Linked DNA regions of Oryzias latipes. The protein of the gene in region 1 binds, or shares a complex with, the protein of each later gene. Links are inferred from orthologs where the notes say so. Each region holds a gene or a part of one and is shown in the gene's direction. Other genes may lie near its edges. The genes, in order: ercc2, polr2k, ciao1, mms19, gtf2a1, gtf2e2 and mnat1.

Region 1 (2,792 bases):
TCCGGTTTTACCTGATGAAATCCTGCAAGGTTGGAGCTCGGTCTGGCCGTGGGGTTCTGGTTTCAGAACTCAGACTAACGCTTCTCCCCGCCAGAGGCCGTCCCCGGCTCCATTCGCACCGCCGAGCACTTCCTGGGCTTCCTGCGGCGATTCCTGGAGTACCTGAAGTCCCGCCTGCGGGTCCATCATGTGGTTCAGGAGAGCGCTCCCCAGTTCCTTAAAGACATCTTCGAGAAGGTCTGCATCGACCGCAAACCTCTCAGGTCAGTCGGCTTCAGGTCACACGGGGGAGGGGCCGCAGTTTTCTCAGGAAACACGGATTTTCTGTTTCACCATTTAGAGCGTCGGTATCATTCAAAACCAACTTTTAGGTGTATTTTAATGTTCATTCCTCACAATAAACAGTATGTTGGTCCGTTTACGCATTTCTGAGCATTCCTCTAAAAACCTGCAGCTCCTCCCAACCAACGAAAACGGGCGGGTCTTCGCATTGTGACATCACAAAGTGAGGACCAGCCCCTTCCAGGAAGAGTCTGCAGTGCCAGCCCCGCCCCCAGGCTAACACACACGCCCACTTTCTCCGTGGAGCTAGCGGTGATCGTCTAAACGCTTTCCTTTTTTATGAACATATGCACGTCCATCTTTGCAAAAGTTCTGCCGAGGCGTCTCGGATGACATCATCACATAGGCGGCGCCCACAAAGAGCCGACCTTTTTGTATAAAGTGTTGCATGTCAGCACAAGACTTCTGTTCACCGCACCAGAATCCGCTGGAATTACGATCATTGCGTAAACGGTTGAAGAGTTAAGGTAGTCAAAGAAATGTAAAGATTGGAGCTAACGCTCAGCTGTGAAAAGGTTTAAAAAAAACCTGCATGCGTTTCTGCTGCTGCTGTTTGTGAGAATCGATTTGTGGAAACGTTCTGGAGCTCAATCTGTCTGTCCTGTCCATCTAATATCGGCCGTGTCTCACAGCCGCTGTGGACGTTTTCGTGGTTCATACGTGATGGGAGTTTCTCGTGTTCCTCATTTGTCGACGCGCGCAGACGTCAGTCAAGGATTTCAGCCGATGGATTTTTACCAGAGTTTGGTTTTGAGCTGGATGAGAATTACACAGTTTCTACGTATCTTAAATTATTACATAAATCTTACACAACTGTGCGTGATTTTTGCGAGATTCACAGATTTGTTGCTTTCCGCGACCGTTCCACGTATGTCTAACGGACTTTTCAGTATATATATATATATATATCAGGTATACGGCGCACAAATCTCATTAAAATAGCGTAATTGACCCACAATTCACTAACGAATTGCATCTAAACAGCTCAATAATCACACGGTTCATGCTCTACGTTGATTAGCGTGGTTCATTCCTGATACATCTGTGCAAATGTCACCTAAAGACTCAAACTTCTCTCACTTTTTCCACACATATGACCAATTTTCATCTGTGCAATATGCACAAAATGTATGTAGTTGCTGTGTGACAGACTTTTTAATCCTGTCTATACAGAAATCCAAAGCAGCAGAAGAACCGACTCGTCTCATCCTGTGATGATGTTTTTCTCGCCCTCAGAATCTTGAAGTTATTCTTTCGTGTTTATTTTCCACAAACGGACATCAGACCGTTCTGTGAAAACCTCTAGGGAGCTCCGTTTCTCCTCCTTCACCACTCACCTTTATTTATTTCTTTCCTTCGCCTGCTCAGGTTTTGCGCAGAAAGGCTTCAGTCGCTGCTGCGAACTCTGGAGATCGCAGACATCGCAGACTTCTCCGCCGTCACCCTCATCTCCAACTTTGCGACTCTCGTCAGCACCTACAGCTTAGGTTCTGCTCGCCTCAGATCCCCGCAGGAAGCCGGAGGTCCGGATGGGCTTTTCACCGCAGACTGTGCTCTGTCTTCCTCTCCCTGAAGGTTTCACCATCATCATCGAGCCGTTCGACGACAGAACTCCCACCATCGCCAACCCCGTCCTCCACTTCAGGTAGAAATGCTTCGTTTTTCTGCACGTTTCCCTCTGGACTCCCGGCTGTTTACGTTTTTATAGAATATAGATGCTATATAGAATATAATTTATAAAAGATGTATAATAGATGAGAAACTCCAGCAGAAAGTGTCAACTCTGAGCCTTTTTAACCTTCAACAAGTTGCAGGTAAAAATAAGTTTTCAGCACAAAAACCCAAAGAAAAAAAGTCAAATTTCAAATTTTTGATTAAAAGATCCACAAACCAGTTTCAGCATCAAGGATAAAGAAGCTTTTACATGGAATCATGAGGTTTTCATCATTTTTGGGACAAACATGATGAAAACCTCAGAAATCTGAATAAATGTTGGTCCCAGTTCAACATTGCAAACTCATGACAGGAAGTGTGAAGTGCTCAAAGCCGCTGCTCCGGTTCTGATCCGGTTCTCTGCCCTCACAGCTGCATGGACCCGTCTATCGCCATCAAACCCGTTTTCCAGAGGTTTCAGTCCGTGGTCATCACGTCCGGGGTACGTCCGTCCGTCTGCACATCAGGAAACGACTAAATGGAATATTTCAATAAACTTCATGATCTTTCCATTTTCATATTTTCTGTTCAGTTGATTAGATCAGAAAAAAGTCAAATGTTTGAGATATACTAATTTAATCAACCTGAGACTTTCTGCTTGTTTATGTTCCTGATTTTACTGTTTATTTATTTATTTTTCATCATAAATTCTTAATTTCACTATAATTGTCGTTTTTTTCCCCCCATGTTTGGGGTTTTCATGGAGTTTTCCTCCTCCCCTCAGACCCTCTCCCCTC
Region 2 (4,202 bases), on another chromosome or scaffold:
CTGCAGCTGCAGCTTTGTTTTGTCGATGATTAAGTCTGAAAAAAAGCACAAAACAATTTGTTTACTCAGTACTTTCACATCTCTTTGTGCCAAATGATTCAATGCATCATCTCTCACCACCAAATCAGCCCAATTTCAAAGTATTTAGAGATGCAAATACTTTGCTAAATCTTTTAGATTTCTCCTGCATTTCTATGATTTGAACCTTTTCAGTCTGAGTGTACAAAGTGAGACATGAACTCATGAGCTTCTGCACGGGTCCAGAATCCACCACTCCACCTCTCCCATCCCTTCCCAAGACTGACGACCTGCCTCACCTTGGACCTTCTTCTCCCATGAAAGCTGGTGGGAGTCTTCCTCTTTCTTCATCCAAAGTCAGTCAGTGGGTCGTTCTGTGTTTTTCCAGGTTTCTGCTGGTGAACAATGACAGAGGTTAGATCTGCCGCAGAAACACCAGCAGGTTCATCATCACAGCATCATCGGAGAAATCTCCTCTCAGCTTCTTCACTCCTGGTACTTTGCTGGATCTCATTTCCATTTAAATCTCTGCACACATTTTAGTTTTCTGTGGAAACAATATTCCTATTATTAAAAATGTTCTGATTCAAAAGAAGTTTATTCTTGATATTTTCTTTTCAATTCTACTTTTATTGCAAATAAACGTTCCCTGTAAAAACAAAATCATCTCCGCCTGCAAACTTTGTATTAAATATGTTCTTTCCTTTTCCTTTTTCACTAAAACACACGTAACAACGTGAGTTCACTTCTTCACAAATACATTAATCTCTTTTAGACACTTGAAATAATGCAAACTATTTATTTGTCTTAAAATAATGGAAAACCGGCAGTTATTTGAAGGAATTGGAACGAATCCGGCTCTCTGATTGGACACAGCAAAGTTTGATACTAGAAATTGGAACAATTCTGGCCATTTGATTGATTGAGAAGTTGGAACACTCTGATCAGGCCCGTCGGAGGAAGACTTCCTCTCGCCGTGCAGAAGCTCCCGAGTTCGCGGCCCGCTGTGCGCGGTTGCAGCATAAAGATCCTCTGCTGCTGATTCTTCTAAAGAAACAAACAACTGGAAGGGATTCACTTCTTCTCTCAACAGAAAGAACCTGTAAATGGATGAAAACCATGAACGCGTGAGGTCATCGATTGATCGATTCACAGACATTCATTAAAGGTGGAAATCAATGTTTTTACTGTGTTTGTCTTTAAAAACCTCATTTCTTAGTTTATTGTTTTATTTATTTAAGTAATGATTTTATAGTGTGTGTGTGTGTGTGGGGGGGGTCCATTTATAGATAAACAAAATCCTACTTGTGCTTTCTTTATTGTTTTTTAAATTCCTAAACTTTTTCAAGAGAGATTTTCTTTTTCGGACGTTCCCTGAATGTCTCGGACTAGTCACCTACTGGACTCCAGCGTGAAAGGTTCGGATCAGAACCGCTCTGGGTTCGGCTTTTGTGCTTCCGTGTCCTACTTCTCCCGAACAACCTGAGTCCAAACGACGGTGAGGAGCAGAATTCTGCTTTCTGAGCTTCACACATGCGACAATCATGAGAAGACGAGCAGCTCATGCGTGGCGGTTAAGATCAAAGAAATTGTTCAAAGCTTTTAGGGAAACGAAAGACGACGGCCGCCGTGTTTGCTCAATTAGTTCACTTTCTGGAGTGATTTAAGTCGATATTACGAGATTATAACTACTGCTTTCGTGAGATAACGGAATAGATGTGTTGCTCGTCTTGTCGAAAACACAGTTTAATGATGTGTTATTAGTAGAAAACAAAAACAAATTTAATTGTTGCTAACGTTCAAAGCTCTAATCTAAATAAATGGCGGATTTGAAAGTAGTTTCTGGCCCGCTAATTTCACCAAATTTCCATTCCGTTCCAGTAAATAACGTTAAACTTCTTATTTATTGCTGACTGTGGGTGTTTGTCGTCAATTTCTCTGCATTTGGACGGCCAGAAAGCGCGTAGAAAAGGTCCAGTTATTTGATCATTTGATCACTGTTTTTTTAGGACTACGGCAGTTGTCCTAAAGCGAGGTGATAAGGACACGTCTACAACTTGGGTGACTCCAACACGCTGGTTCACTCTAAGAAAAGCAGTAATAAAGTAATAGTATGGATTTATGTGGAGTTTGTTTGAACAATAGTGAGTACTTGTAATGTTTTAGAGGTTATTTATGTTGACTTACTGAGAAACTGCTATTGTTTGTCTGGGGTGTTTTGGTGTACTTTATTGACGGTCCCCGTCTGCCTCTGTAGCTTCACATCGAAGTAAACTCAGGCTGTGACTCGTTTTCTGCTTCACCACAGACACAAATAAAAAGTTTACACTAGTCAATAGAACTATATCCAACGTCATGTTTGTGGATAAAGTTAGTATGAAAAAAACAAAGCAGACCGGTGACCGGATGTGTCTGTGACACGAACACATTCTCAACTTCTAATTGCAGCTCATCTTATATGTTTGATGAGCAAATGAAGTTATTTGCCTTTATAGTTCTTGAAATACTGGAACAAAATTCCACAGAATAAATATAATGAAGATCCACCGTTTCTTTATTTTAGTTGAATGCAACGCTTCCATGTAATGAATCTCCAGGTGGAGCGGTGAAACAGCGGCACCATGTGGCAGATCTACAGCAGGTATTTTCTGCATTAAACATGACTGTATCTTTGTGTTTAGAAACAGGATTTTTGAAGTAGAATTTTACCTCACAGATGCTCACAATGTATTTAAAGAATTTCAGAGGCAGCATATTGGAGAAAAAGCAGGAAATGGTCAGAATTTAGTTCAACCAGGAGCCGACAGGCTCTCAACAGGGAAGCAAGCCACTCAGGATCGTCTCCGCACCAATGAAAGTGTATAATCCTGGTCTTTGATGGGTTCTTCTTATTGAATTTAGGTCCATGTGAGTTCTGTTCGTCCTGTTGCTGGAAGCAGAAGCACAGACTCTCGTCTCTGAGCTGATCTTTCTGCAGCGAGTCGTCGCTTTGGCTTCCTGCTTGAAGGCAGCAGCAGAATGACGTCAGTCTGACGCGATCAGACCAGTTTTCTCTTTCTCCACACAGATCCTTGTCTGAAAGAGTCTCCACCCCTGTGTGTGTAACCATCAGCACATGGGGGTTGGTTGGAGCTGCGGTGGGGGTTGGTAAAGGTCCTCCTGGAGGGGTGTTGACTCGACCTTTTGTTCTGGCGCTTCCGGGAAACCAGTCGCACTCGTCTGACGTGACAAAACCCCCCTTCTTTTCCCAGAATCCTTCCAAGAAGTCTCTCACAAAGTCAGAAAAAATGTAATTTTAATCTGATTTAAGCATTTAAGTCAAACTTTGAATGGAGATGGTGAACCTGAGACGATCCTGTGTCATGGGAGAAACAGAGGATCTTTTTTGGTGTTTTGTCTTAATTGTGGTTCCCTTTAAAGTCCACTGTGTTCCCTCAGATCACACCTCATGCTTGAGAAGAGTAGCAGAGGGGAGGGTTTAAAAAGCACTCCGAGACATTGGCTCATTGCACTAGTTCTCTAGTGCATATACTAAAATTGGAACGATACAGAGAAGATTAGCATGGCCCCTGCGCAAGGATGACACGCAAATTCGTGAAGCGTTCCTCATTTTCTCTTTTAAAAAACAATTTCACCTAACTTTGTGTCATTGTTTTAATAAAAATAGCCCTTAATATGAACCATCCAGCTAATATATGACAATTTTTAATAGAGTTCATAGCAAAAGTTTCAGGAAAACTCACAGCAGACAAAATTATAGATGTAAATTAAAGCCGTACGTGGCATTGTAGGCGCTACCCGCTTCTACACACCACCTCCGCTATCGCTGCCCACCTCTATGCAGCTCAGCCGCCCTCACCACCCAAAAAATGCATATACTAACCATCCTAACTATGGTAGTTATGCTAAAATGGCTAAAAGTGCTAGCTTAGCGATCAGCATCATCAGCGTACTCAGAAAAAACACATTGCTTAAGACTCTAAATATGCTAACACTGCTAGATATGCTATTTTGGCTAGAATTGCTAGCATTGCGATCAGCATCATCAACTCACTCAGAAAAACACATTGCTTAAGATGCTAATTATGCTAACAATGAAAGTTATGCTAGTATGGCTAAAAGTGTTAGCTTAGCGATCAGCATCATCAACTTACTCAGAAAAACACATTGCTCCATTAGTAAGA
Region 3 (4,205 bases), on another chromosome or scaffold:
CACCTGCCACCAGGTAGAAGCTGATGGCAAAGGTGACGTAAATGAGAGAGCCATGGTACTTTTTGTGTTGCTGCTGCAGTGACAAGATCAGTTCCGATGCCCAGTAGCAAAAGCCTATGACTGTGGCACACTGCAACACTGGAAAGACAAAGAAACCAGTTACATTGTAGCAATGTGTTTGATCTTTATTAGAAATGAAAACAAGCACTGTAGATACCTGTTAGTATATGTGCAAAAGCATATCTGCGAGTTATCTTTAGGGCAGGGTGTTTGGGTCCAAACACATCCAGGAGGAACGCAGTTAGACTGCACAGGATGCCAAGGAAACAGAAGGCAGCTATTACCCTTAGCAGCAGGATGGTCTGCGGATTCACACAGTAATCTGAAAAGACAGACGTGCCACAAATTCATATAAATTAAGGCACTCCATGATCCTCAGCTTAGAGTGGCAACGACTTTGTGCTGGTTCTTACCACCCAAAAGATTGGGATCAACGTATCCCAAGACATCTGCCACCCCGAGTTCTTGTCTCGGGCAGGTGCCTCCGTGAATCCGGAGCCAAGCAGGTTCAGCCAGAGCCGTGCACAGCGCTGTGATGGACAAAGCTCCGGGCAGGGCCGACACTAGACTCCGCTCCGGCTGTTTGGGAAGTGAGGTACCGGCTCTCCTCCTCCGACCTCCGGAGACAGCGGGACCCGGTGGGGCATACATAGCTGACCGAATGGCGAATTTTCTGTTGAAGTGGTAGGTTCCTCTTAGCACTGTCTTCCTCTTGACAGTAGTACCGGGTTATTGTGGTATTAGAGTAAAACTACGGCAATTGTCTTCCAGGATATGTCAAAGATTTCGGTGGCGATAAAAGTGCTCAACAATATAAAAACAACAATAACCGCTTCCCTAAAGTAGTCAAAAAATATTAAGGAAAAGCCAACACAAAGAACAGATCCTAAGCGGGCCTTTAGCTCTGTTGTTAGCCTCTGAAGCTAACTAAAAAAAATAAACACTTTACGTCACCAGTTCTCGGAGGAAAGACACTTTTTAGCGAACGAATGGGAAAAAATATAACCTGTAAACATCAAATCCCGCTGATAAAACCGTCCGTCTCTATGATACAAAAAGGAACACAAAACAAAACAAAAGATAGCTTACGCTGTTTTCCTCAAAATCCCTAACTTCCTGTATATGCCATTCTTCTTCGTGACGTTTAGAATGTTTGCTGTACACTACCGCCCCCAGCGGAAACTAAAATAGAAATGTACACAATGTTTAGCATGAAATTTTCTTTGCAAACAGTAATGTAAATATAGATTCATATTATAAAAATACATATATAGGTAGATCACTTTCTTTAAAAATATATAAATGAAATATTACCATCAAAACGTTTTATTTTAGATCAACCCATAATGCACCGGGTCCAGATCCCGATAAGCAAACATGGCGGCATTTCCTAATTTGACGCTTCTTTGAACTTATCTGTGTGAACAATTTTCCTTGGTTAATTTCCCCCTCCTTTTGTTTTAATGTTCATAAAGGTGTATTAATTTACTCGCAGTCCTCTTGTCTGTCGTTTTCCTCATTTGTGACTCTTTTTAGCCTAAATCTTTGGTTAACGGAAATCGAGAAAAGTGTCGAGTCGACGCCTGACAGACAGAGGAGTCACGTTTGCTGGAGCTCTGCCATGAAGGAGGCTATTTCTCTGGTGCAGAAACTCAGCGCACACCCAGATTCTCGGTGCTGGTTCGTCAGTTGGAGCCCGAGCGGTGCGCTGCTGGCTTCGTGTGGTGGCGATAAGGCCATCCGGATATGGGGACAGGAAGGTCAGACTCAGACAGACAAAGAGCCTTCTATTCGAATTTTGCTACGCCGATTTAAAATCAGTGGTTGGATGACCTTACCTTTTTTACAGTTCATGTTTTCCCTTTTCAAGGTGACTCTTGGGTTTGTAAAAACGTTCTGCAGGACGGACACCAGCGCACTGTGAGGAAAGTAGCCTGGTCTCCCTGTGGGAACTATCTGGCCTCCGCCAGCTTCGATGCGACGACATGCATCTGGAAAAAGAAGAACGACGACTTTGAGGTAAGGTTCGTTTAACCTCTGATCTAACACGTGTTCTGGCTCCACCTGGACTCTTTTCTTGTCTTCTAGAGCTTAACTGTGTTGGAAGGTCATGAAAACGAGGTCAAATGCGTGGCGTGGGCCCCTTCAGGGACTTTGCTGGCCACTTGTAGCCGAGACAAGAGTGTCTGGGTTTGGGAAGGTTTGTGTCCTCACCAGCTCTTGCAGGACAATCCTTTGTCACAGAAAACATATAGAGCTGGGTTGTAAACCTTTGTTTTCCTTCTTCACAGTGGACGAAGAAGATGAGTACGAGTGTGTTACAGTGGTGAACTCGCACACACAAGATGTAAAGCATGTTGTGTGGCATCCCACGCAAGAGGTAGGTCTGCACTCAGTCCTTCACCATCATGTAGTTGTTTTATTATTGTTGCTATTAATTGTTAAAGTGCATCTTTAGCCATATTTATGATCTACGTGCTGTTTTTAATAGAGCCATGGTAACGACGTTTGTGGGATCAATAAAGTTGTATTTTATTCTATTTCCGCAGCTCTTGGCTTCTGCCAGCTACGACAACAACATCTGTATTTACAAGGAGGAGGATGATGACTGGGAGTGCAGGGCCACTCTGCAGGGACACACGTCCACCGTCTGGAGTTTGTGTTTCGACGTGACGGGACAGAGGCTGGCGTCTTGCAGCGATGACCGCACTGTGAAGATTTGGAAGGAGTATCCAAGTGAGAGTGGTGAGAAGATAGAGGGGTAGTTTATGACATAAATAAAAAAAAATAGGATATTTTTTAATCACAGAATGTTTTGTTTGGTCTGCTTTATTAGGTGATTTGTCATGGAAGTGCGTTTGCACTCTGTCGGGTTATCATGGACGAACAGTGTACGACATTGCCTGGTAAGACTAAATACTTACACTACAGCAGGGGTGTCAAACACACGGCCCGCGGGCCTTATCCGGCCCGCCAGGTGGTTTACTCCGGCCCACACATGAAGAGTAAAAATCAAAAGGATGATTAAAAAAGAAAGCAAGTTTCTAGTCCATTCCTGTGGCGAATTATGATTTTTTAAAGAAATAACAGAAATGTGCAATTCCGCCACTAGGGGGAGTAAAGGAAAAGAAAAACAGTTGAAACAGCAAATATCTGCATGTGCCAAAAGCGAAACATAACAGCTCTGCGTCTGGGTAGGATGCACCTTGGTTCCCTATGAGCCTTACCGCTGTTATCTTGCTATAAGGATGATCATTAGCGACACCCTAATGACCAAAATGCTGTCAAACGTGAAGTGGAGGGAAGAGCCTTCCAGGAAAATTGGACAGAGTTTTTTCTTTTTTTCACGAAGCTGAATGTAAAACCCAAATGCTTTGTATGTCATCAACATCGCAGTGCTCAAAGAATATGACATTCAGCACCACTAAGAGACTTATCATAAAGAAAAGTTTCTGGATTGCTTCAGTGTCAGATGTAAAATATTCAGACTGCATTAATTTGAATAGACCAACTTTTCTTTAATTGAAATTAATTTTATTTGAGCTCCATTGGCCCCAAGTGATTAGGCTACTATGTTGATTGAGACATTTTTTCCAACTGAATAAAAAACTAAAACAAAGCTGTTATTTTGCTTTTATGTTACTGGTCCGGCCCACTTGAGATCAGACGGGTTAAATGTGGCCCCCGAACCAAAATGAGTTGGACACCCCTGCACTACAGTCTGGTGTCTGATTTTTTTTTTTTTACTTTAAAAATAGATTCTATTTACAGAGTTTTTAAAAAGTTGCCAAAACAGATTTTCTTCTTTGCTTTTTTGGCTGTACCACCACTAAAACAGCGCTTGTCATCAGTCGGCTGAATCTTTGTCCCCTTTACTATTATGGCTCAAACAACTGTCTGTTGCGTAGGTGTCGACTGACCGGTGCCCTAGCAACTGCCTGTGGCGACGACGCCATACGAGTGTTTAGGGAGGATCTCGCGGCCCATGCAGATGAGCCGGTGTTCTCGCTGGCTGCTCAGGTGAAGAAGGCTCACTGTCAGGATGTGAACTGCGTCGCCTGGAACCCAAAGGAGGCCGGCCTCCTGGCCTCCTGCAGTGATGATGGAGACATTGCAATTTGGAGGTTTCAAGAAGAAGACTGAAC
Region 4 (4,288 bases), on another chromosome or scaffold:
CTTAAAGAAGCACTGCCATGAAAATGGAGTTTTAAACGTGTTCTTGTAGCATCTTTTGATGATGGGAGGACAAATGGAAAGAAAATGAAGCTCAAAATTCCGTTTCTGAGTGTCTTCTTTATTCAAATCAATGCAAATCGGGAGCAGACGGAAAAAAACGTGGTTTGGAAAACATCGTATTTGTGATGAAGAAACAAGCTTCCTGCTCCGCCCCATTCTTAAGCATCCACCTGCATGAACGACGAACGTTTTATTTTAAAGAACTCCTGCCACGCCGCAGGAGCTCCGATCAAAGGTTCAAATGGAGAACATTTCCTTCAAAGCAAGCTGTTTGACTCCCTTTTGTTTTTTTGCATTTGGCCTCACAGGTCGACCGTCCTCTACACTCTCGTGTGCTTCAACTTCAGCCGGACCTTTCGCCAGGTTAAGAGATGCACAAACATGGAATAAACAATAGGTTTTGAACTTTCTATACACGCATTCTACAAATAAATGTGCGTTGAGTGTGTATGTATGCACTGCAGAAGATTCCCAAACTTTTGGGCGGATTACAGACAATACTTGTGCAAACAAAGGAGAGCAGCTATTCCACCACTTCTTATGCAGGTCAAGGTCAAACGCAGAGGAGGCCACGTTCCTGTTTGCACCCTAAAACCAGCGTTCAGAGGCGCTGCTGCATCACGTGATCACGTGATCCATTCAGTCACAGGTTCCTCAGGTACCAGCTCACCTGCACGCATTCAAATGTGTGTCCTTTCCGGGTTCAAGTCCAACCAAATCAGCTAAAGCTCGTTTGCATAGTAGTTAGGGTCAAACAACAGTGTCAGGTGTCAAATAGTTGAAGATAAATGTCAAATAAGAACATAAATAATACCCCCCCCCCCCCCCCCCCCCCAGGTTTAATTAACCTACATTTAGCTCGTTTTCTTGTCTTTTTCTATGACTCTGCTGCATTTGCTACTCTAAAGTGTCATATAAACAGCAAACTCCGAACCCACCGTTCCCGGACGAACCTCGGCTCTGTGACTCGTCCCAGCCTCGCCAGTACCTCCCCACGCATCCTCCCATGGCCGGAGGGGCTGTGGTCGCTCCCCGCGGGGCTTCACTGGCTTCCAACGGGGCCCATGGCGACGAAGAACCGAGTCCGGCGAAGATCAGAACCCGCAGGTGCAGCGCTGCTAGCCGGATATGTCATCCGGTGACAACAAGGCGGTGAAATCCGGTGGGAACCGTTAACAACTTTTTTTCTGTTGTCTGAATAACCGGTAAAGTTCGGTTTAGTTGCAACTGTAAACAGAAAAGCTTTCTTGCTAACAGGCTAACTGGGCTAACCAGCTAGCTCCGCCAGAAAACACAAACTTCCGCGTGCTCGATGTCATTTCCCCGAGTTTTATCTTCCCTATAAAAGGGTCTGGAGGTAGAGCTTCACTCGGAGCTGAATGCAGAACCGTATCACGCCCTTCACGCGCTCCCGGACTACTTTTCTTCAAAAGACTTGGAAAAACTCCTCACTTTCTGTTGCTGCTGGTTGAGAAAGTGTTCAGAAACGAGCTAAGGCAGGCGAACTTTTCTGCACATGCGCAGACAACCAGGCAGGTGGGTCTGAAGGAAACGTAAATAAATGATAGCAGTGACGTCACAATAATGGTTCAAACCGTCTTTGATATTAGGAGAGAAAAAACAATACACAATGACAATAAGTACATTTTAAAAGGGCACAAAGTAAAAATACTATCAATAAAGTACAGATTCTTATGAATATTTCACTTTTTTGTAGGTATTTTTCAAACTTATCCAAACAAATTAGGATTTTTCCATATAGTTTAAAAAAATACTGAACAAAAACGTGTGAATTCCAGTTTATTATAACGTCACATGAAAACTTAGATAGAATGAATGCAGTCATACGATGAACAAAAAAATATTTTACGTAGTTTAATATCTTCTGGGATTTTAATCCAGATCATGTTATCAAACGGTTTCAGCTTTTAGTCCAGCTTGAAACATATTTCACTGCTTAATTAATGCACTTATAAAAGTATGACATCTCCAATAACACCTTTATGACCAAACAAAAATGATCAAGCTTAATAAATTGTTACATTTATACTTGTTTATGTTTTTTGAGATACTTTGAATGTAATGGTGTCTTGGACATAAATGTGTCGTTCTTTTGTGTAAAATCTCTATATTTATTTTATTTAAAAGCACAAACAATATTTTTTAAAAATATATTTATATTTTTTCTTAACCAAGAAAAAAAAAGTTGGACTTTGGCGTTTGAACTTTCTGCACATGCGCAGTGTCAGCAGCGTGGAGGAAGCGCGATGGCTGCGGACGGTGCCTTGCTGCTGTCTCTGGTGGAGGAATTCGTCTCCGGATTGCAGGACAGCAAAGCAAAGGACGCCGCTAAAGGTACAGCAGTCGTGTCCGGTGTTTGTCCTCACATTTACCAGCGGGTTTGTGTGGAAAACTGAGCTGGAGCCGTTAGTTTCCCATAAAGGTGCGTGGGGGTTAACTAGCTAAACTTAGCGTCACAACATCCTGTGCGGGATGCTGCGTGAGAAGCTCCTCCTGACACTAAACATGTCATGAATCTGCCCTTTTTCCGGGGCGGCAGGAACTCGCAGCTATCTTTGTTTACTGAAACCATGACTGTACCTGCAGTCTGCTGTGGTCTCGTGCCTGCTGCTAGCTAGCTGCTGGCTGGGCGCGAGGAGGATCCTGTCATTGAACCCTCAACCCCCGATTTACCTTTGATCCCGAGTTTGTCTGTGTGGGCAAAGCAGGGAAACACGTCCAGACTACCGAACCGATTCGGTTCCGATTCAGCACAGACCTGATAACTTATGACGTATCAAATTAAAGGAGTTTTAATTATACCCAAAGTAAACAGAGGGGGATCTTTCAAAATAAAACGATCACTTATGTCAATCAAATTTACTGAAGTTTGTTTTTCCCCTGATACTATATTTATTTAAAGGCTGTTATGACGGAATACTGAGGCCACCATGAAAGAAAAGCAAATATTTGACAATGAAGTTGTAACATTATAAGAGAAAAGTTCAAATTTTTACAGGAATTCAGTCGTGAAATTATGAGGAAAAAAGTCCAAACTTTATTATGAGAATTGAACTGTAAAATAATCTGAGAGAAGTCTAAATTTGACGCAAATAGTCCTAAAATTTTCCAAAAGAAATGCATATTAAATCAGTTTTTAGTTTTTTCCTTTTAAAATTCAGACTTTTATTTATTTACTTATTTGAAAAAGTATGACTATTTCCTTGCAATATTGCAACTTTTGAAGTAAAACATTTACAGCTTTATGTTAGAAAATTGTCGTTTTCCCTTTTTTTAAAGTTTTTTCTTGTACATTTTTTTTCCTTGTAAAATTTTGTCTTTATTTTTCTCAGAATTGTACAACTTTATTCTATATATGTACTCATTGTTTCCGTTACCGTGGTCCTATTTGCACGTAAGGCGGCGGGCGCGTTCTTACTTCGACCTCCACTGCAGCGGCAAAGGAAAGCGATAAATACGCTGATGGTTCACATCAAGCAGCCAATCAGAATTGAGACCCGGACCGTGGTATAATATGGATTATTTAAGCTTTTGTTGACATATTATTGATTCTTGCTCAGGTGTCAAAGATGGAGCGTTTACAGTTTTGCAGTTAGTGGAAGCGTTGGGGTGAGCCTTTGTCTTTTTCTCCTTTACTTTTTTACAAAAACACAAAAAAGTGACGCCGTTCTTGTTTTCAATCGACTTCCCGTCCACCCGCAGGCCCAGCCTGACCAGCTCGCAGCCGCAGACTCGCGCCCGCGGCGTCCAGCTGCTCTCCGAGGTCCTACAGGACGGCCGTGCAGAGCTGTCGCAGAAAGAAGGTCAGAACACCAAGCCTTTTCGTCTGCTCAAAGTGAGGAGCGTTGTTGACATCCTGTTGTCCCATCGCAGTGGAAGTGCTCATGGCTTTCTACCAGAACCGCCTCAAAGACCATCACGTCACCACTCCGCCCGTCCTACGGGGGCTGCTCGCCTTGGTAAACTTGGGGGACCCGGTTTCAGACGGAGGCGCTGCTGGAGCCTCCTTGTAAGTTTGTGTTGGTTTCTCCTCAGACCAAGTGTGCGGCGCTGCCTCCCGGCTCGGCCGTGTCCATGCTGAGGTCGCTGTTCCAGGACGTCCACGTCCAGGTGAGGTTCTCCATGAAGAAACCAGGATCTCCTCCACTTCCTGTTTTCCGGTAAAGGTCTGCTCCGTGCCGTTTGTCTCGAGGTCTATCTTGACGTT
Region 5 (4,039 bases), on another chromosome or scaffold:
GAGTTCCTCAATGTCTTATCAGTCTGAGTGGTGCCATTTTGGAGCCGTGTGGCGGTGGAAGCCCATTCATAATTGAAGTAGAGACCGGCTTAATCTTGAGCCAGTGGCTCCCTGTGCAGCACGCTCCCATCACAACACAACTGGAGCTTGCAGCTCCTCTGTTGCTATGCAACTACAGCAAAGAAGGGGGAGTAGGGAGTGGGGGGGGGGGGGGGGGTAAAGTGTGCATTCTCCAGATCTTTAGAGGGCATCATGCTTCTCTAATGTTACACCGGAGTGAAGCTCAAAGACAGCAATGCCCTAGCCTGCATATATGATCACATCCCAAACATTCATAGCATGGATCACTCGCTTGCTTTTTGATCACGTTGAACTTTGCTTCCCCTGTAATTATAGAAGCATGAGAGGGTGATCTGCAGGGTCAGATCACCCTCTCTCTCTTTTTTTTACATCTTCTTTAGATAATTTCAGTAAACACAGTTTTCAGAAAACACTGAATTGTTTGTGGATTGATGCAAACAGTCTTCCCTAGTCTATATCATCTATATCCACAGAGTGGCCAGGGAAGCAAGTTTCCATGGAGACTGAAGTGGAGTTAACAATGTCTACACGAAATTATTGCAAAGCTTTTTTTTAAGGATTTTCCCTTTGGTTGTGTATTTTTGGATCAAGTGAATATGATCTTAAATACTTCTTCAAATGTGCACAGATCTTCTTAATTAAAGATCACATATAGCACGCTGCATGTGAAAAATATGCCCGTCTCAAAGCTCCAGTGAAACACAGGTTATTTTCATGTGATGTTGTCTTATCGCCCTCTTGTGGCTGTAGAACGATACTACAAGGAACATAGAAATAAATCGGGCTTTTGGATTCAGATTTGAACCTTTTCGTTATAAAATAAAAGTAATGAATACAACACAGAATTTACTATACAGGAAAAATCTCGATTTAGCTGAAAAAGTTAAATCAATTAAAACTTGTAACCCTCTATTTGTAAACATTCTCAACACAATACAAACTCACAAACAAAAACAATGTAATTGTAATCATGGTTAACAATTGGATAATTTGTCCAACAAATCTAAAAAGCTAAGTATCCAATCGCATTGTGAAATTTACAATTTAAACTACATTTCCCAGCACGACGTCAGTGATTAGTCATCGTTTTTTGTGGCAAATCTCGCGCTATGTGCCTTTTGACCCTGCCCTATGTCTCGCGCACTCGCAGCTCCATCGCTCAGTATATAAAGCAGGACAACGACGAAAGGAGGACGGCTGGGGAGTCGCAGCCCGGGATTGTAAATAAGACCGTTAAAACTGTGTTTTATTTACAAAAGTAATGCCGGCTGTTTTAAAGTACCTTTCCCAGTTGTTTTAAGTCTTTTTTCTTAATTTTTGGCACTGTTTCTCGCCTATTTCCGTGTGGTTTTTACACTACGCGTATAATGGCGAGCTCGGCAAACTCGAACCCAGTGGTAAGGATCAATCTCTCAGGACTGTCAACGGGGGAAAATGGGGGTAAAGTTGATGGAAAAACGTGTCAACGATCTGTTTTTTTTTTTAATTTATTTTTTTTATTCATTACAGTAAAAATGAGTTTTACCAACACCGTTATGTCCATTCAAAGGAATACTCACGGTCATTTTTTTTATACCAGTTTTCGAAACTCAATGAAAAAAGAGCTTATAGAACTGATTACTTTTGTAGGACCCGAATCTCTTTAAATATTTAAATTAAATGTGATCAAAAATAAATTTTAAAGTTAAAAGTTGCCTGTTTATACGGTATTAGTTGTTAACGTAAGTGCTTCCGAAAACCTTCTGGACATTTTTTTAAAGCTAAATTGAGTTGAAATCCGCATTGAATGCGTTAGCTAACTAGTTAAGTTAGGGGTGCTCATTTTTGTTTACACGGGGGAAAATGTCATACTTATTGTCGCATAACTGTTGGAGGGGAGGGAAACTGATGTACGCAAAGCACATATGCACCATCCACTGCGACTGAATTTAGCTAAAAAAATTTTATTAAAAGCTTGGCGTCTTGAACGCTCTGTCAACTGCTTCTTCTTCATTGTCCTCCATTCCACGACCAGAGGGCAGGAGAGCCGTCCCAAATCACCCTCAACGCAACAAATGTCCCGCTCCAGTCAAAAATGTTTAGTCAAAACGGATCCTTTCATGAGATAAACCACCGAAACCGTCATCTTCAGTCCGCCATATCTTGCTAGTCGAGGAGGGAAAAGAGGCGCGCGCGCGCTTGCCGCTCTGTAAAATGGCTTCCTCGTCTCCTCTCTCGGTTCTGGCCCTCCTCCTTTCTGCTGCCTGGTTTTATACCGCCATATTGGCCGTCTAATATAGACTGCCCGGGATGGGACGGTGCTACACGACGCTACGTCACCGGTTCTTCACATAAACAGCAGACTGCGCTTTAAATAGTGCCGGAGCTGACGGGGAGGAGAGCAGAGAGACGGACATTCGGTGTCCCGCTTCTCGTTCTGCGTAGAAGCCAGAATGTTGTCCGTGACAGTTCCCCGCGCGTGCAGCTCTGTCTCGAGGGACGCGTTTAGTCCTGCTGACAAATGGATCAGTGCAGATTATTATATATGGGTTTGGATAATCTATCCATATACACAAGATGTGACCGTTTAAACTTAACACCTCTTTTATGAGTGTTTTCCTACATTTATTGTAAACATTTATATATGTTGAAACCACCACCAATAAATTGTGTATTTGCTCTGTTTTGTCATCATAGCCTAAATTATACAAGTCTGTTATTGAGGATGTGATCAATGAGGTGCGGGAGCTGTTCCTGGATGAAGGGGTGGACGAGCAAGTTCTTCTGGAGCTGAAAACGGTAATCCGTCTCATTTTACTGAGAGAAGGTTATAACCCCCCCCCCTCACACACACACACACACATGCAGCTCCGTGTTTGGTCAGATTCATCTGGAGTCTTGTCTTTCAGCTGTGGGAGAACAAGCTGCTGCAGTCAAAGGCGGTGGAGGGCTTCCACACCGAGGAGCAGGCGGCCCTGCAGACCGCTCAGCAGCAGCACCCGCACTCCCAACAGGCCCAGCAGGTGGCCCAGGCCGCGCCGGCCCAGCAGGTTATCCAGATTCCCTCGCAGCAACAAGGCGAGTCCGCACGTTGACATACAAACGTCGCCTGGACGTGTGTTGTTTTTTTTTTTTTTCAACCTGAAATAATGTGTTTTATTCTCAACAGCTCCCCAGCAGCAGGTCATAGTTCAGGACTCTAAAATGATACAGCACATGAATTCAACGGGAATGGTGAGTAGCATCTTACAAGCTGAAAACTGCACCGCCACACTTGAGAACCAAAAATTCTCCCAAACGTCCCGTTTTGTCATCGCACAAATCCACCCGGGGAATATCTGGGATAGTATCAAGGAAGCGACGGTTAGGAAAACTAGCCGGGCTGTGGGTTTTGGGAGAGGACTTTTTTTCTCAACAAGGACCTGGAGAACAAAACCGAGAAAGGGAAAAGCTTTCTTGTGGGGAGGCCATCTGTCTTTTTGAGCTTGAAACCTAGCCGCCGCTATAGCTTTTCCTTAAGTGATGGACCATGTTTGAAACCTTTAAGGCTTAAATGAAAAGAAAAAAGAAGATTTTTTCTTTTTTTATCACCTAGAAAATCCACCTTTTTGTGCTCTGGTATAATTGGAGCGGCTTTCTGTGTTTCCTCCTGCAGACCGCAGCAGCCACTGCAGCAACCCTTGCTTTGCCCACAGGGGTCACCCCCTACCAACAGCTCATCACAAGCCAAGGTAAAGCTCTCACCGTTCCTTTGGACTTTAGCGTGGTTGGATCTCAAAACGTTTTTTTGTTTTCCTGTTGATGCAGGTCAGCTCCTGCAGGTGGTCCGGGCTCCCAACGGGACTCAGTACATCATCCAGCCTCAGCAGCAGATCGTCCTGCAGAATCAGATGCAGCCTGGCGGCGTGCAGGCCCCCATTATACAGCAGGTACAGTCCATGTGTGAGGTCATCCTTTTGAGCATGAAACCAGTCTGGGA
Region 6 (4,198 bases), on another chromosome or scaffold:
GAAGCCAAATTCCTTGTATATGCCCTCATTATTCGCTAATAAAATTGATTACTAGTCAGAGAAAAAAAAGGGAAAGTAAAATTATTTTTAGTATTATTTCTGTTTACAGTTTGGGGTTTGTTACCTCCAAACTGTCACTGTGTCAGAGTTACACTGCATTACATGACTTTATTACTTATAAAGTAATAATAAAGGGAAAGTAAAATTATTTTTAGTATTATTTCTGTTTACAGTTTGGGGTTTGTTACCTCCAAACTGTCACTGTGTCAGAGTTACACTGCGTTACATAACTTTATTACTTATAAAGTTATGACTCGTAATCAATTATTACTTATAGCGTTCTTTGTAAGACCTACAGAAGTAGAGGAAGTGACAAGGTACTGTCAAGCATTTCACTCTAAGACAAATGGCGATAAGCTTTAATAATCATTAAGTGAAAGTACAGGAAGCAGAATCACAGCTTTTTGTTGTTAAAATAAAACTATGAGTCATCTACCTAAATGGATAACAGAGTGACAGGAGAACCGTAGGGGTCTGTTTACCTCAGGAAAAGTGGAGCTGTCTATTAAATAATGATTCCAATCACCACACTTTGTCAAAAATAACTGATCAGATACATTTTTTTCTTCAAGAAAAAAAAAAAAAAAAAGATAAACACATTTGTTCAAGAAATCAAAAGTTAAATTATTGTTTCTAAGCTAAAAGTGATGAACCATGAGTTTATAAAGATATTTTTAGCAGAGTTTTTTTGTTCATGTGTTCTCGTCTCATTACTAAGTATGTAATGACTTTAATGTCATAGTAATGCTTTACACCCCTTTAGAACTGCAAAAGGTATGCTATCGTAATGTATTTTGTAACTACGTGCTGTAGGCTCCTCTACAGTAAAAAGAAAAAAAAAGGCTTTAAATTAAAAATATTATTCAAAAATAAATCCTGGAACTTTATTAACATTTCACTTAAGTGTTTCATCTTTTAACAAGAAATGAGATTAAACTTTATTGGTCAAAGCACAAAATTTGGCAAAGAAAACTTGTAAAGATTATGTTTATAATCGAAATGGCAATCACACCACAATGCAAAACAGAACATATTACAGTCAGGTGTTGGAAATAATACTTTTAATGTCTTATTACAAACTGTTGGTTATAATAATATCCAATAATTTTCAGTTTAAAAACTGAAAATGTTGGGGGAGAAACATTTGCTGAAACTATTTAATTGTTTTTAAACGTTCCGGCAAGAATTAAAAACTGTGAAACAGAACACTCATTATTTTAGCTATAGTTTCAGAATCCCTAACCAAAATAGCTCTCTTGCCTGAAATAAGTTGACTGTCCTCCAGTCCAGTAGGTGGCGATGTTGAGCTACACAGCTGCGGGTTTTTGCTTGCACGCGGAAGACGTCACCCAAGGAATAACATACGATAACGATAACCGACAACTCGAACACTAAACGAAACAGTTACATGATGGATACAAAAATAATACTTTTTTATTAGAAAGTAAGCTTGAGTTTACTTAAGCTTAAAATTGTCTTTCTATTTCACTTTTTAGTTTATAAATTAGTCTATCGGGACTTATTCGCCACTTTCTGGAAAGAAGAACTCAACAGTAGCAGGTAACGTTGACATGCTAACACTAGGATTAGCATCACATTAGGTGTTAGACAATGCGGGAACATTAATTAGCGGTTATGTGGGTCATGCTGTCACGGGATTCGGTTCTTTGGGGAAACTGGACTCTAAAGGTTCATCTCGATGACTTTTAGCTGCTTATATGAAGTTTTTTTTTTCCCGATAAACTGAAGAAGAAGCTAATCGGACAAACAGCGAACTTCTGTTATATATATGTTTAAATATGTTTTGAGTTGAGTTTTTAGTCCACTGTTTCTGTATTAAGTGTATTTCTTTGGTCACTGTTAATGTAGTAATTCCATGTCTTTGGCCCATATTGTCAGTAGAAGAACCGAACACAATTATTTTTGGCACAAATGGAACACCGTAGTTTTGAAGAACAGAATCCTGTCGTGTCAAGACAATGTTTTAACATCAAATCTAGTTACTAATAATAATCCTTATGCTCTACTTAATATTTGAAGAAAAAATAGTAAAACAGCTGCATCACTGATTAGATTGAGAAAAGAACCAGGTAAACATACCAGGTATAATAGATATGCATGGAGATGATGCACCTCACTGTTTCAGTATTATATTTATTTCATAAATTATATTTAATTTAAACGTTTGAAGCTTAGTAAAACTGCATTTTATCCAGCCTTTTCTGTGTTTACATGCTTTTGTCCACCAGCCTGGATGGATCCAGCTCTGCTTCGCGAGAGGGAGCTGTTTAAGAAAAGAGCTCTCTCCACGCCGGCTGTTGAGAAGAGACCAGCTGCATCAGACTCTGGATCCCACAAGAAGAAGAAGCCCAAGTTAGACAAGGAAGGCTCCTCTGGCTCCAAACACAGCACTGGTAGGTCATGCTTTATATCTGGTTACTGAGCTTCTCCTGGACGTGCCACAAGCTGCTCCGCTCCATTCTGATAAACCCACTTGCAGACAAATGGATCCATGTACGTCTTTGTTTTCCTCGCCTGGGCTGCCATCTGGCGTAAACCTTAAGTTTGCTCACCAATGTTGGGTTGGGTGTGTGAGAGGCTGTAAGCTTATGAGAGAGGATATGCAGAGAGCTCAGTAATGGATGACTGGAAGGGGGGGTAGGGTTGCTCCTTACAGCGCCGCTGGTCCCACTCGCAACTCAGGTGAAATTCCAATGAACTACTGCCACCCTGCAGAAACTATGTCCTAGAAAAACGACCCAGATTTTTTTAATTTTTAGCTAAAAATGACCTTCTCCTAAGTAAAAGACCAATGGAAACGCTTTCACAATAGATCAAAATATGATCGGAGGGGGTCTTTGAGTGAAACTGGCAGATTATTTTTAAGGATTATGTTTTCTTTCTTTTGTTTGGTTTAAATGTTGTTGTTTTTTAATGGATGGATGATGTAACACCTAGGCAATCAAAACTCATTCATCTGTCACTCATAGGTTATTCTGAGTCAAATATTTGAATAATTACGAAAAGCAAAGTGGTCAAAATTCTGCTGTCATTGCTTTTTTTTAAAGGTGTGCACAGATCAAAAAATGACTTCTAACATTTTTATAGTAAATATAAATAAAGCCTAAAAGAATTCTTTGGATGAAAGGACTGATTCATAAGAATCATGAAATATAGAGAAAGAAAATTCAAACTCTTTAACCAAACTTTTTGTTAGATCTCATTTTTATTGATTTTCTTTAGTCTTTTTATGTTTGTCTTCATGAAAATGCCAACATACCACATTGACCAACAGCCGTCCAACGCTAGATTTTATCACTTCATTTAGTTGCTTTTGGAAAATAAACGTCTTCATCTGTTAAAAAAGTTTCAGAAATGTCAGATTTTCCACCTGGTAACATGAGAGTGGCAGCTGATTTCTATACATCCACTACAAACAATTACAACTTTCGGCTCGCCTTAACATCCATTTAAATGAATCATGTTTATTTATAACAATTCTTTTTTATCATACCACAATGTTTTTAACCCAAAAGAAAAGATTTCCATCAACTTTTATCGGGTTTGTGGGAAGCCAAACGAAAACCTTTATTGTGTCTACAAATTCACGACTGTGTGTTTACCATAGAAGAACGGCAAAAAAACACAAAACTAAACAAAGATGACATGAGTCTTTAAAGCCCTAACTCGGCAAACGTTTCTGTGTACAGAATACTCTGGAACATTGATTCATTTTTTTCTTTGCCTCTGAATTGGATGCATGCAAATAGACAGTCTATGGTATCAGGGGTGCTTGTTTTGGCAATAAATTGGGCATCCCAACCCCAAACTCTTCCATTTTCCTTTGTCTGTGCTGCTGCTATACCACCTCCGTGTGGCTCTCCAGCTCCTTGCATGTTCTCGTCATGAGATTGCTGCAGCTTCCCGACCTTTCTTGCTGCAACTGGTGGCGCGTTTTCCCTTTGGCGCAGCAGCCGCAGTCCAGTAACTCGTAGAGAACGGCCAGAGCGGCCAGGGACAGAACGGTGAGGATGAAGAGCAGGAGGATGACGAAGCAGGCGACGTTCCAACCGTCGTGGAAGGGGTAGACTTCCTGTACCTGCAGGGAAACGTGGGACATGGGGATGGCCTCGGGGAG
Region 7 (3,500 bases), on another chromosome or scaffold:
TCTACCTCCATATGGCAAGTCCCATAGATCTCCTGTTGCCCGAGGCTCCAGTGAACATCTGCCTCCTCCAAAGTGTACTTGAGTGGGGGCTCCAACTGGCACCAACTGGACAGAACACATGTCCCTCTCAGTAGTTTAGCTTTCATTTTTAATGTTTCATCAAAGCCGAGCTAAATCGGACGTGATAGCTGTGGGGCTTCGTTTTTGTTGTACAGCTGCGAAAGGTTTGGCGTCACACTCAGCAGGTTGGGCTTGTTTGACCCTTATGAGAAACGCGAGGTGTAAACAGACAAATTCCCAGTCTCTGCACTTTCTTCCTTAGCTGATTTAGCTTTGAGTTGTGCTGATGAAGTGAAAAGTTTTGCATGATGATCATAGTCCTCTGAAAGACACATTCCCCTGGGAACATCTGAGTTAGAAAGCCATGCGGCCAGCGACACATTTTCCCTTGTAGTCCTTAAACTCGCTTTGTTGCAGCATCAATCTTCAGAGGCAGATCAGGAAACCACAAGGTCCAGCAAGGTGGATTTCTTTGGCAAAAAAGCTCATGCAGAGCATACAGTGCATACGTTTATCCAAGCTCTGACCTGTTCAGGGGAGAATTAAGGGACAGTCCCAATTATCTTTGCTGTCTGCTCTTCCTTTAAGTATGTTTAATGGGTAAACGCCTGCCTGCATGAAGGTAGGATTGATGAATAGCCTCAGGCGTGTTGCCTCAGGTAGGCTAACTGACTGATTGTCAGAGAGTTTGCCATCGTAGTAAAGTGAAGGAAACTTTGAGCTGAAAAATCCTCGTCTCTGTTTCAACAGTTTTGGTGTGTTTATTGTTTGGAATTGATCCAAATCACAAGTACCAAATAAAGTGGCTGTTTTTATCTTGGAAATGTAGACAAAATCTAAAATATTAGACAATGTTTGCACAGAGTAAAAAAAAACACATTGTGAAGGCCATTAGAGAGCTTGTTATAAGACTGGGAACTAAGTTTTATCTTTACAGGTAGTTTGACTGTTTAACTATTTTTCTGCTTGAGTTTCTAGATTCTAAATTCAGCTTTTAAATCTGTTATAAATTGAAAAAAGTGAGGGAAGTTTAGAATGCTGAGAAGCTTTCAGCTCACAGAGTGCTGCGGTTGTAATGTCCACATATTTAGGATATAACCACTAAGGCTTATGGGAAATGTACACATGGGGTTATTTTGTGGCACAGCATCTATGACGTTATCTATTTGGAAACAATACATTTAACCAGTGAATGTTTTATTCAAAAAGTAACAAAAAAGTGAACTTTTATATTAATTGTGAAACTTTTCTTTTCTTATATCTTTTAAATAAACTGTCAGTATAACTTCAGTCAAGAGAACATTTCACAATGATCTAATTTTAATGTTTTAACTAAATGTTTTCCTTTTATTAGCTTGACATCAGTGTTAAATGGAAATAATATTCCAAATATTCAATTTAAATCAGTCTTTATTTACAAACTAATAGTGAATAAATGTTCAGTTTTAGTAACAGAAGTCCCACCTTTGTTTATTTTGAAACAGTTATCTGGGATGTCTCGTATCCTTGCATGTTAGATTTGAGTTTTTTAGAATGTGAAAACGATCCTGATATTGAATGGTATCATAAACTGAATCATAATTCTGTAAGTGGATTTGGAAAATAAGCAGTGATACCAAACTGGAGGGGGAAAAAAGAGCATGAATGCAACATTCTTGAAGTTAAAATGCGTATAGTTGGACTTTATTCTTTTTATCTGAGTTAATACGTTAAAGAAAACTTTATTGTTGCCATTCTTGCTTATAGAAACAGAACTGTATAACACCAACATGTTTTTCTGACCTCATATGTAAATAGATTGTTTTGTTCTCAATTATATTGATTAAAATGGATGATTGTTTAAGTTGGAAAAGCATTAAACATTTTGTAAAGCATTTATAAATAAGATATAGTGTAATTTTTAATGTGGATGTTGCTGAAAATGCGAAAATGTACCAGGAAAAAAAAAAGAATCCTGATTTAACACAAGTATAGTCTATATATTTGATGCAATTTGGTAGAAAGGCTAAAGTTTGTGAAAAAAACATCTTTCCAGTGCAGACAAGCGCGCTACCCATTGGCTGGGAGACTTTTTTCCTTTTGTTTTAGAGTCTGAGTCATCCTAAGTGACATTCCAGTCATAATCCCAGTCATCTTTAAGCACTCCGAGGAAACATCCTAATGCCCCATAATCACCCATTCAGCCTAATGATGCTTATCAAAACATAAAAACACCCAGCATTTCCTTACACGGGCACACGCACGCGTAACGCCGTCGTCTGTGGTGGGTCATCTCTGGAACGTCTTGCTTTGCTGGATATGAACACGTTTTTATTATTTTTTTCTTGTCTGGCACAGATGTGAGAACTGTGTGGAGATGCTGTTTGTGCGCGGCGCCGGCAACTGTGTACAATGCAACACGCCGCTGAGGAAGAACAACTTTCGGGTGCAGCTCTTCGAGGATCCGACAGTTGACAAGGAGGTGGAAATTCGAAAGAAGGTCATGAAAATGTGAGTGGGGGGGATTGAGATTGTGAGGTGAAGGGGTGTGGTTCTGTGTGTTTATGTGCTATACCATCCCTCCTCCCATTTCTTAAACTGCCTTTGTCTTTGTCATTACACTGTTTGTTTTGTAGACAATGAGTCTCCCTGGGGGGTTTCAAATGGGTTGGCTCTTTCTCTGCCAAATTTTACTTCGCAGCCCCTCCCTGGCCCTGCTCTTCCCCTCTTATTCGCTCTTTTTTTTTATATAATACCCCTTAATTTATGTTCTAATGTGTGTCATTCAGGTGGTATGCAGAAATGGTATTAAAATTGGCTGATTTAATGGAGGCTATAAATGTCGGCTCTCGTTAGGTTTTACTGTTTACATCGCTGTTCCTACTCTTCCTCTGCAGCTACAACAAGAGGGAGTGTGACTTCCAAAGCCTCAGAGAATACAACGATTATCTGGAGCAAGTGGAGGACATAGGTAAGGGGTTCCAGCTTGAAAGGCTCTTCCTAAAACAAGTGTTATTATTTCTCCTTCACTCTGGGGTGTTTTTAAAGGGATTAGTGCCAGCCAGGGGCACGGATTAGGGAGCACCTCTGCCAGTGTTGACACGTCTTGACTGGCAGTTCTCTGAGGACTTTGTAGATTGTCATTATAGGGAGGGCAGAGCGCAGGTTGGCCTGTCACTCCTAATGCTAATTTGTTCATCCCATTGAACACCTGTGCTTCTGCTCGCACCACTCAAAAGCTTTTTTCTTTTTAACCATCGACTATTATTTTTAAGAAGACATTTGTGAAAGCTTTAACCCATTAAGACATCACAGCCTCCCAAAGCCCAGGAGGACACATTTTCAAATCCGTTTATTTGTCCAGACACCACCACAGTCACCAAGTACAGATGAAAGAATAACCCTCCAAATGAAGTCAAACTTCTGTTGAATCCTTTAAGACTTTTTTTTAAAGTAACCTG

What was found.
Region 2: ercc2 (region 1) and polr2k share a complex: the UniProt entries of both Homo sapiens proteins name them as parts of the TBP-based Pol II pre-initiation complex. The link is inferred for Oryzias latipes from reciprocal best matches to the Homo sapiens genes ERCC2 and POLR2K.
Region 3: ercc2 (region 1) and ciao1 share a complex: the UniProt entries of both Homo sapiens proteins name them as parts of the MMXD complex. The link is inferred for Oryzias latipes from reciprocal best matches to the Homo sapiens genes ERCC2 and CIAO1.
Region 4: ercc2 (region 1) and mms19 share a complex: the UniProt entries of both Homo sapiens proteins name them as parts of the MMXD complex. The link is inferred for Oryzias latipes from reciprocal best matches to the Homo sapiens genes ERCC2 and MMS19.
Region 5: ercc2 (region 1) and gtf2a1 share a complex: the UniProt entries of both Homo sapiens proteins name them as parts of the TBP-based Pol II pre-initiation complex. The link is inferred for Oryzias latipes from reciprocal best matches to the Homo sapiens genes ERCC2 and GTF2A1.
Region 6: ercc2 (region 1) and gtf2e2 share a complex: the UniProt entries of both Homo sapiens proteins name them as parts of the TBP-based Pol II pre-initiation complex. The link is inferred for Oryzias latipes from reciprocal best matches to the Homo sapiens genes ERCC2 and GTF2E2.
Region 7: the proteins of ercc2 (region 1) and mnat1 are in contact, whole or in part, in a crystal structure (PDB 6TUN), measured with the Homo sapiens proteins. The link is inferred for Oryzias latipes from reciprocal best matches to the Homo sapiens genes ERCC2 and MNAT1. Residues at the interface, in NP_000391.1 of Homo sapiens: Lys274, Tyr285, Ala318, Val319, Pro320, Gly321, Ser322, Arg324, Thr325, Glu327, His328, Arg334, Arg335, Glu338, Gln363, Arg364, Val365, Cys366, Gln368, Lys370; in NP_002422.1 of Homo sapiens: Val68, Glu71, Val72, Arg75, Lys76, Leu79, Arg85, Glu86, Leu92, Tyr95, Asn96, Asp97, Leu99, Glu100, Glu103, Glu104, Phe107.

Annotation. Positions count from the first base shown.
Region 1 is NC_019871.2:4,138,871-4,141,662, forward strand, and holds part of ercc2 (general transcription and DNA repair factor IIH helicase subunit XPD), read left to right. Parts: coding exon 1-29; intron 30-94; coding exon 95-263; intron 264-1,710; coding exon 1,711-1,829; intron 1,830-1,917; coding exon 1,918-1,987; intron 1,988-2,427; coding exon 2,428-2,497; intron 2,498-2,779; coding exon 2,780-2,792. UniProt on the Homo sapiens protein: ATP-dependent 5'-3' DNA helicase. Component of the general transcription and DNA repair factor IIH (TFIIH) core complex, not absolutely essential for minimal transcription in vitro.
Region 2 is NC_019869.2:7,013,761-7,017,962, forward strand, and holds the start of polr2k (DNA-directed RNA polymerases I, II, and III subunit RPABC4), read left to right. Parts: upstream 1-1,402; 5' UTR 1,403-1,516; intron 1,517-2,581; 5' UTR 2,582-2,659; intron 2,660-2,742; exon of another isoform or gene 2,743-3,222; intron 3,223-3,526; exon of another isoform or gene 3,527-3,632; intron 3,633-4,202. UniProt on the Homo sapiens protein: DNA-dependent RNA polymerase catalyzes the transcription of DNA into RNA using the four ribonucleoside triphosphates as substrates.
Region 3 is NC_019867.2:18,361,328-18,365,532, forward strand, and holds the start of ciao1 (probable cytosolic iron-sulfur protein assembly protein CIAO1), read left to right. Parts: upstream 1-1,405; 5' UTR 1,406-1,681; coding exon 1,682-1,820; intron 1,821-1,930; coding exon 1,931-2,079; intron 2,080-2,148; coding exon 2,149-2,260; intron 2,261-2,351; coding exon 2,352-2,440; intron 2,441-2,609; coding exon 2,610-2,805; intron 2,806-2,896; coding exon 2,897-2,966; intron 2,967-3,968; coding exon 3,969-4,203; 3' UTR 4,204-4,205. Other genes in the region: tmem127 (transmembrane protein 127), read right to left, coding at 1-138, 218-382, 474-711. UniProt on the Homo sapiens protein: Key component of the cytosolic iron-sulfur protein assembly (CIA) complex, a multiprotein complex that mediates the incorporation of iron-sulfur cluster into extramitochondrial Fe/S proteins.
Region 4 is NC_019877.2:1,649,447-1,653,734, reverse strand, and holds the start of mms19 (MMS19 nucleotide excision repair protein homolog), read left to right. Parts: upstream 1-1,488; 5' UTR 1,489-1,596; intron 1,597-2,303; 5' UTR 2,304-2,327; coding exon 2,328-2,415; intron 2,416-3,641; coding exon 3,642-3,690; intron 3,691-3,783; coding exon 3,784-3,884; intron 3,885-3,954; coding exon 3,955-4,040; intron 4,041-4,116; coding exon 4,117-4,191; intron 4,192-4,288. Other genes in the region: ubtd1 (ubiquitin domain-containing protein 1), read right to left, coding at 999-1,068. UniProt on the Homo sapiens protein: Key component of the cytosolic iron-sulfur protein assembly (CIA) complex, a multiprotein complex that mediates the incorporation of iron-sulfur cluster into apoproteins specifically involved in DNA metabolism and genomic integrity.
Region 5 is NC_019882.2:4,171,033-4,175,071, reverse strand, and holds the start of gtf2a1 (transcription initiation factor IIA subunit 1), read left to right. Parts: upstream 1-1,239; 5' UTR 1,240-1,448; coding exon 1,449-1,478; exon of another isoform or gene 1,479-1,515; coding exon of another isoform or gene 1,516-1,521; intron 1,522-2,757; coding exon 2,758-2,859; intron 2,860-2,969; coding exon 2,970-3,138; intron 3,139-3,229; coding exon 3,230-3,294; intron 3,295-3,715; coding exon 3,716-3,791; intron 3,792-3,867; coding exon 3,868-3,989; intron 3,990-4,039. UniProt on the Homo sapiens protein: TFIIA is a component of the transcription machinery of RNA polymerase II and plays an important role in transcriptional activation. TFIIA in a complex with TBP mediates transcriptional activity.
Region 6 is NC_019859.2:11,937,016-11,941,213, forward strand, and holds the start of gtf2e2 (transcription initiation factor IIE subunit beta), read left to right. Parts: upstream 1-1,398; 5' UTR 1,399-1,620; intron 1,621-2,309; 5' UTR 2,310-2,314; coding exon 2,315-2,474; intron 2,475-3,268; exon of another isoform or gene 3,269-3,919; coding exon of another isoform or gene 3,920-4,198. Other genes in the region: smim18 (small integral membrane protein 18), read right to left, coding at 3,920-4,198. UniProt on the Homo sapiens protein: Recruits TFIIH to the initiation complex and stimulates the RNA polymerase II C-terminal domain kinase and DNA-dependent ATPase activities of TFIIH. Both TFIIH and TFIIE are required for promoter clearance by RNA polymerase.
Region 7 is NC_019880.2:12,052,980-12,056,479, reverse strand, and holds part of mnat1 (CDK-activating kinase assembly factor MAT1), read left to right. Parts: intron 1-2,397; coding exon 2,398-2,550; intron 2,551-2,936; coding exon 2,937-3,010; intron 3,011-3,500.